Linked DNA regions of Ovis aries. The protein of the gene in region 1 purifies or fractionates together with the protein of each later gene. This does not show direct contact. Links are inferred from orthologs where the notes say so. Each region holds a gene or a part of one and is shown on either strand. Other genes may lie near its edges.

Evidence for each region.
Region 2: the proteins of ITPR1 (region 1) and ERLIN2 purify together in Homo sapiens (affinity purification with western blotting, with the first as the bait; 4 studies listed by BioGRID). This does not show direct contact. The link is inferred for Ovis aries from reciprocal best matches to the Homo sapiens genes ITPR1 and ERLIN2.

What each region holds. Positions count from the first base shown.
Region 1 is NC_056072.1:21,685,438-21,688,937, forward strand, and holds part of ITPR1 (inositol 1,4,5-trisphosphate receptor type 1), read right to left. Parts: intron 2,853-3,500; coding exon 2,733-2,852; intron 1,722-2,732; coding exon 1,527-1,721; intron 1-1,526. UniProt on the Homo sapiens protein: Inositol 1,4,5-trisphosphate-gated calcium channel that, upon inositol 1,4,5-trisphosphate binding, mediates calcium release from the endoplasmic reticulum (ER).
Region 2 is NC_056079.1:32,105,733-32,109,840, reverse strand, and holds the start of ERLIN2 (erlin-2), read right to left. Parts: upstream 2,801-4,108; 5' UTR 2,262-2,800; coding exon 2,235-2,261; intron 1,359-2,234; coding exon 1,237-1,358; intron 1-1,236. UniProt on the Homo sapiens protein: Component of the ERLIN1/ERLIN2 complex which mediates the endoplasmic reticulum-associated degradation (ERAD) of inositol 1,4,5-trisphosphate receptors (IP3Rs) such as ITPR1.

The sequences.
Region 1 (3,500 bases):
ATCAACAAAAATTAAAGAGTGTCACAATATTCAGAGAGCGCAAAGACAAGCAAAAGCTCTCATTTACAACTGGTGAGAGTGTGCACCAAAATATCCAATCTAGGATTGCTTAATGAGTTTAAAATACGCATATGCCCCAATCTCATAATTTCCTGGTATGGAATGGAAATTCCTACACATGCGCACCAATCTGAACAGTGATGTTCCCTGACACGAAGAACTAAATTGTGGCACACAATGAATTCAAAGAGAAAAGAAAATGTTGGCACAGTAATAAATGGAATAACATTCAGCAGTCAAAATTAAAGAAACGGACCTACCACCATTAGCGTGAATCCATTTCAGACTCAATGTTGAATTAAAAGGGCAGGTTTCAGAGAAAAACTCAGAGTATGGAACCATTTATATAAAATTTTAAGGCTGAATAAAATACTATGTGTTATTTATGAATGCAAAGAAATGTAAAATATAAACATACATAGAGTGTGGAAGGTCACCCACCATCTGCGTGAATGGAGAGAACAAACTACAGGAGGGTCACAAAGGGCACTGCAACTGCCAAGTTTTGCTTTTATTAAAAAATGACACTGGCACTACTCTATCCATCTCCTGTTTTCTTTTCTTTTTAAAGTGTTTACTGGTTCCCTTCCCTTGAGGTGGCAGAGTCAACAGGTCTTACAGCTGGGACCAAGGAAACACCAGGATGGGGGTGGAAACCAACCAACATGGCAGGTTCTCGCTGTCCGAGGAAGGAGTTGTGGATAGAGAGGGTGAAGATGAGAATAACCCTACGGTGCTGGAGTGGAGCTGAAAGTCGTGATGTGAACTCAGGGTTTTTATCACATTCATATACATTAATACAGAAACAGACGTGTGTGTGTGTGTGTGTGTGTATGCAGATAGAGACATCAAGAGAGGTGTGTATACACATGCACATTTCTTAGCTCTGCCTGTAAAAGTTCTAAGAGGCTGGCACTATTGTCTCTGTCTTGCAGGTAAAAGAACTGGGACATAGAGGTGGATAACTGGACCCAAGTTAAAAAGTTAGTATGTATCATTGCTTTATTTAAAATGGATAACCAACAAGGACCTACTGTATAGCACATGGAACTCTGCTCAAAGTCATGCGGCGGCCTGGATGGGAGGGGAGTTTGGGGGAGAATGGGTACATGTACATGTATGGCTGCGTCCCTGACAGTGATGCAACTATCGTATTATTAGTCAGCTAGACTCTAACATGAAAGTTTTTTAAAGTCAGTATGTAGAGAGGTGACCCCACAGCCTGACTCGTATCTACCACAAACCACATCCACGTGCTACACTGTGTAGAGACCAACAACTCTGAGAAGGAGCTGATGCAACCGCGCAGCTTCCTTGTGACCAAGCCATGCCCAGGTATCACTGCCCTACTATGTAAGTATTGCTGACAGCTCACACTCTACAAACTCCTGAAAGACACATTTGTCTTTCTGATGGACTGTCTCATGAGAGGACATCACAGGGCGCCCGTGCACAGGCCTACACACCTGTAGTAGCCAAGGACGTCACGGTCTTCCTTCTGGCCCTCCTTGGCATCCTGCGCCAGCTCCCGGACGCTCTTACTGCGAACCTCCTTGTTGCTGTCCCTCCAGAAGAGCCATACTTCTTCCTCATCTTCACCTGCCTCCAGGGCATTCTCTCCAGTAGAAACGCCTTCAAATTCAAAACGGGAGAGCACCAACCTGAAAACGTAGGAGGAGGTGGGAAAACTAATTATGTCTGAAATCCTCGCTTGTCGCTGATCAACTATATTTGTGCTTTGAACTCCAGCTGGGCTTTCAGCACGCACACACACACGCACACGCACACACACACACACACAGCCACTTTGTTTCTCCCTTTGGCAGAACCTCAGGGAGAGACAAACATTGACTTCTTCATATACTTTAGCTCAGGGGTGCCCCACTAGGGCGGCTGTGTCTGCCCATGGGACGCTTGGCAACGTCTGGAGACATCTTTGGTTGTCCCAACTAAATGGAAGAGGTACTGCTGGCAACCGGTAAGTACACACAGGAAGACTGCTGCACTTCCTGTGAGGCACAGGACAGCACCCACAACACAGAACTGCTGGGCCCCAAATGTCAAAGGCCAAGGTTGAGAAAGTCATCTTTCAGCCCAAGCTCAAAATTATGTTATGCATGAGACCCCTCCCCTACAAAAATCGCAAGTTTAGGGCATAAGTGTTTTTAAAAAACATTTCTTTTTTAACATTGATATGTTACTGGCAGTATATGCTTCCCTTTTACAAATGAATCAACTACTACTTTCCAAACTTCTGTAGACCAATGAACACTTTTTGAATAGTGGTAATTTCACAAGTGCTTCCCTACAATGCCTTAATGACAATGAATTACCTCCTTTAAAATTTAAACCTGGGGATCCTAACTGGAGAACTTCCATGTCTTAAAATGAAATCAAGGGTGTGTAAGATGCTCCCCAGTAGTCCACATCACTTTTGACTCAGTAAGCAAAGTCAGTGACATCACCATACAGAGGAGGCCACCACAGCAGAAGCAAGTCCAGTAACTCCTCTAATCAAGATGCTGGCATGAAGTAATCATAGGCCAGCCAACCTGACTTCAGAAGCGAAGGGGCTGGGTTTAACTCCCCATGGCACAGACAACCACCAAGGCACACGCTCTCCATCTAAATCTCGTTCTCACCTTTATAGTCACTCCCCGGCCCCCACTCACTTGGTCTCAATGAGGATGTCGGCATTGGTTGGATTCAGCACGGCTTTACATATCAGTTCCTGAGTCACTGGAATGGATTTGTTCATGGACACACAGAGGTCAGAGAGGTAATCTAAGAATCTGTGGAGAAACAGAAACCAAACCAAATGCTTTTTGTAGCCAGAGCAAGGGTTAGGTCTTGAGGACGTGGCTCTCCCCCCAGAGGGTAGACCCAAGCTACTTTACCACAAGTCAGAGAGGCTTTGGGTTTCAGTGTGCATGGTATCACCAGTTACCCAGACATGGGAGGGCGGGAAGAGAAAGGAGGGAGGGAGAGAGAGGAGGGAGGCAAGGAAGGAGGGGAAAAAAGAAAGAAAGAAAAGCACAAGAAGAAGGATGGGAGTGACTGCTGTGAGGAAGAGGTGATGAGGTAAAAATGAACAGAAGCAGCAACCAAGTAAGATCCAAGCAACCCAAGATGATGCTGGGTACCCAGAGAGGGGAGAGGTCTGATGTTTGAGGCCTAAATCAGAATCCTGGTTCTGGTTCTTCTCCGCTACATTCTGACATGTACTGTTATTTGGGGGAAATTATTTAACCTAACCATGTTTCAGTTTTCTCATCGATAAAAATGGATAACCTTTAACCCCAGAGGGCTCTTCTGAGGATTAAATGAACTAATTCATGTAAAGTGCTTACTCAGTTCAGTCCCTGGCACACGAGAGGGTCCATAAGATGTTAGTTGTTTTTAATAGGTGGGAGGAGTCAGTTTCATAATAACACCTTCAG
Region 2 (4,108 bases), on another chromosome or scaffold:
CCTGCTTTGGCAGGCGGATTCTTAGCTAAGAGAGGAGGTGTGTTTTATTTTTGTCACATCTGTTAAGCTTGTGAGAATCCACAAGGTCAGTTAAGTTCACTAATACAGTGACCAATTAACAATACTAATGTTGGAGTTCAGTGACACAAACAACCAAAAGAATAATTTTAAGGAAACTTTATAAACCATCTAAATATTTTTTGAGGGGCAGTGGAGTTACCTTTGTAGTCATGCTATATGTGAATGGTAATAGAATTAAAACTCATTTTGGGAGACACGCTTCCTTGGTGGCTCAGCTGGTAAAGAATCTGCCTGCAACCTGGGAGACCTGGGTTTGATCCCTAGGTTGGGAAGATCCCTGGAGAAGGGAAAGGCTACCCACTCCAGTATTCTGGCCTGGAGAATTCCATGGACTGTATAGTCCATGGGGTGTCAAAGAGTCGGACACAACTGAGTGACTTTCACTTTGGAAGACACAGAAGCAGATGGTGTTGATGGCACAATTAAAGGGGAGAGTGGAAGCCAATCAGACTTCCAGAACTTGCTATTGGCAGCCAGAGGAAAAGCATCAAAGGGCTTTAATAAAGAGTTCATAAAGGCATATAAGGAATTCACAAAGATTTAAAGCAAAAACTTGGTTATGGACATTACTCAAAGGGCAACCCAAGATTTATAAGCGCTTCTTTGCTTTGTGTTATTTAAGTCACAGATACATTTTTTTTTTTAAAGAGCAATCAAAATAAAGTGACGGAATAGGTCATTTAAGAACCACTATTCTAGAGCTTGCCTCGATGGGTACAAATCAACCTGTAGGCTCTTTCATTTTCCCTGAAATGTTAATTTTAAGGCGTAGGTCCAAATTATATCTCAAGTTGCCATGAAGAACTGGCACTCCTCAGAGGTGAGCTTGTGGTATTAAGGTGCCCAGAGGGAAGTAGGAGAAAACAGTGTTTCAGAGATGATCTTCAAGGAGCAAGGTTGCCTTTACATTTGTCTCTAAACCTAACATGTGTATCAGTTACCATCCACGGCATCAGACAAGTTTCATATTTATATTTCCCTATATTTACGTGCATGAGTGTATCCCTCTTCCATAGTCACCGACACAAAGCTCAGTCTGAAGACTTCCCTATTCAACACAATATAAATGCAACCGGCCAGTAGAATCTGTTACACATTGACTAAGAGAGAGTCATCGAACAGGAAGTTGCAACCTTCTCCCTGTTGCTGCCTTACCTGTAATACACCCCAATATGTCCCTCTTCTATCTTGTGCACCGCCGAGAAGAGAGATGCACAAAAGAAACTGGCAGCCACAGCCACAACCGCTCCCAACTGAGCCATCAGCGAACGTTTACCCTGGGGGAAAAGATACAGGAAAACGTGTGTGCCCTGACTTGTGGGAGGCGAGCTCTGGCAGCCAGAGTAGCTCCCCAAGCTGAGCTCCTGCAAGTGGCTCACGTCCAACCTGTAGTGTGAACACCAGGCTAGATCTACACCTCTTCCTCCTTGCTCTCAGTCGACACCCCTGAGCCTCAGCTGTGGAATTACACTCTCCACTTCTGCAAGAGGCAGTGGCTCCAGACACAGCCCGTGGCCCAAGGGAGAACCAGTGCCAGGTGGGCAGTGTTCAGAACACAGCCCTCTCTTCCTGTGAACATCAACGGGCTGTCACCGGAGCCACTCATGTTAGCAGTAGGGAAAGAGGCAGCTGCAGTTACGTTGGCCCCAAATTACAGAGGATGTCAAGTGACAAGCAGTTGCGGCTGTGTAATTCTGGTCAGAGCCTCCCAGTCCTAATTGCCTGCCATTTCAAAGGAAACCATTATTGACTCCTTTCGGGTGCTGGAGCCACAGAGACAGCCTGAGAGCAGAGTTCAGAAGGGCGGGATTCTCTGGCCTTTCCTCCACCTTCTCCGTTCTTCCTTTGGCCCTAGCCAGATACAGGGTTCTGGGTAAGGATGAAGCCACGCTCCCGCCCATGTGCTTGACTGGCACTTTGCACTTGGCATGTTCTCCTAGCCCACGTTGAGCGGGGGGAGGGTAAGGGGGTCCCCAGGCTGGGAAGACTGGGGCTTCTGGGTCGACAGCATTCAAGCACCAGGACGCGAAAGAATGAGCATCCAGAAGCTCATTTCCTGAACCCCGAATGATCTGGAAGAAACGACAGTAACTGAGAGAGCGCTACGTGCTCAGTCGCTTCAGTCGTCTCCGACTCTCTGGGACCCCACGGACCGTGGCCCGCCGGTCTCCTCTGTCCATGGGACTTCTCCAGGCAAGAAGGCAGGAGTGGGGGTGCCGTCTCCTCCTCCACACTGACAGCGAGGCTCCCGACTCTGCGCGCCCTGGGGCCCGCACGCGCGAGGCGTGGACTCTGCCCCCCGGGTCTGACTGAACTCGGGCGCGGACGTCGGTCTGCGAGGCTCTCCGACGTTCCCCTCGCAGCCTCCGGCTACCGATCGGCAGCGGCGGCAAAAAGCCTTTCCCTCCCCCGTCCGCCCCACCGCGCGCCCCTTCCCTGCCCTCTTCCGAGAGAGGGTCGCGCGGCCCCTCATGAGCCGCAGGATCGGAGCCCTCCCTGAGACCCCGCTCGGCCCCGCCGAGAGGCTACAGCGGGGCAGGAACGAGACGGGAAGGGCTTGCTCGCTCTTTCCCGAGGGACACAGGACGCTGTGCAGGCGACCCGGGAGGGCCTCTCGTCAGTCAGCTCCGGCCCGGGGGCCTCACCGAGGCCCAGCGCGCGCGCGAAGGGGCGCGGGCCGCGTACCACGCTGTCTGTCCCTCCAGGCGCTCCGTACTCTGCCGAAACCCCCAATGCGACCGCAGAAACCGCCACACCCCTCCGCACGCTACTTCCTTCCGGGCCCGTCGCTTCGATGACGCTATTTGTTCACGCGAGAAGACCACACCCCTCACCCCGCGATGGCCGGCCCCGCCCCTGCGCCCCGAGTGGGCAGTGTCCGCGGATGGCCTCCAGGGGGCGCCCGCGGCTCGGTCCGGGCGCTCTGGACCCCGATCTGGGATTTTCGGGTGACCCCCGGGAACCAGCGGAGTGGCCGTGGGTGCTCAGACAGAGACGTCGGTTTCCGAGGATTTGAGTTTGGAGTCTGCTCCGGATCCCCCTCCACATTAGATCAAGCCTGTTTTTTTTTTTTTTTTTTTAAATTTTAACGCCGGAGCAGGTTACCAGCGTATTGCAACCGTTCTAGCTCTCAGCTCCACTTAACCTGTAGCACCGCTGAATGGAACATCCTTTAAATGTGCAGATTAGCACCATTACGTCGCTAATCAACAGTCCCTACTGTGAACTCCCCTTTATGCTTTTCTAGGAGCTTTCGCTTCTGAGGTCCCCACAGCACCGTAAAGTAGATTAAGCAGGAATTATCTCAATTTTTAATGAACAAAATCTAGGTTGAATGAAGTGCGAGGGTAACTGAATCATAGTCGGCTTTCAGTTCAGTTCAGTTCAGTCGCTCCGTCGTATCCAAATCTTTGCGACCCCATGGACTGCAGCATGCCAGGCCTCCCTGTCCATCGCTAACGAGTTTACTCAAACTCATGTCCATTTAGTCGGTGATGCCATCTAACCATCTCATCCTCTGTCGTCCCCTTCTCCTGCCTTCAATCTTTCCCAGCATCAGGTCTTTTCAAATGAGTCAGCTCTTTGCATCAGGTGGCCAAAGTATTGGAGTTTCAGCCTCAGCATCAGTCCTTCCAATGAATATTCAGGACTGGTCTCCTTTAGGATGGACTGGTTGGATCTCCTCGCAGTCCAAGGGATTCTCAAGAGTCTTCTCCAACAGCACAGTTCAAAAGCATCAATTCTTCAGCCTTCTTCACAGTCCAACTCTCACATCCATACATGACCACTAGAAAAACCATAGATTTAGTGGACAGACCTTTGTTGACAAAGTAATATCTCTGCTTTTTAATATGCTATCTAGGTTGTCCATAACTTTCCTTCCAAGGAGTAAGCATCGTTTAATTTCATGGCTGCAGTCACCATCTGCAGTGATTTTGGAGCCCCCAAAAATAAAGTCCGATACTGTTTCCACTGTTTCCTCATCTATTTCCCATGAAGTGATGGGACCAGATGCCATGATCTTCGT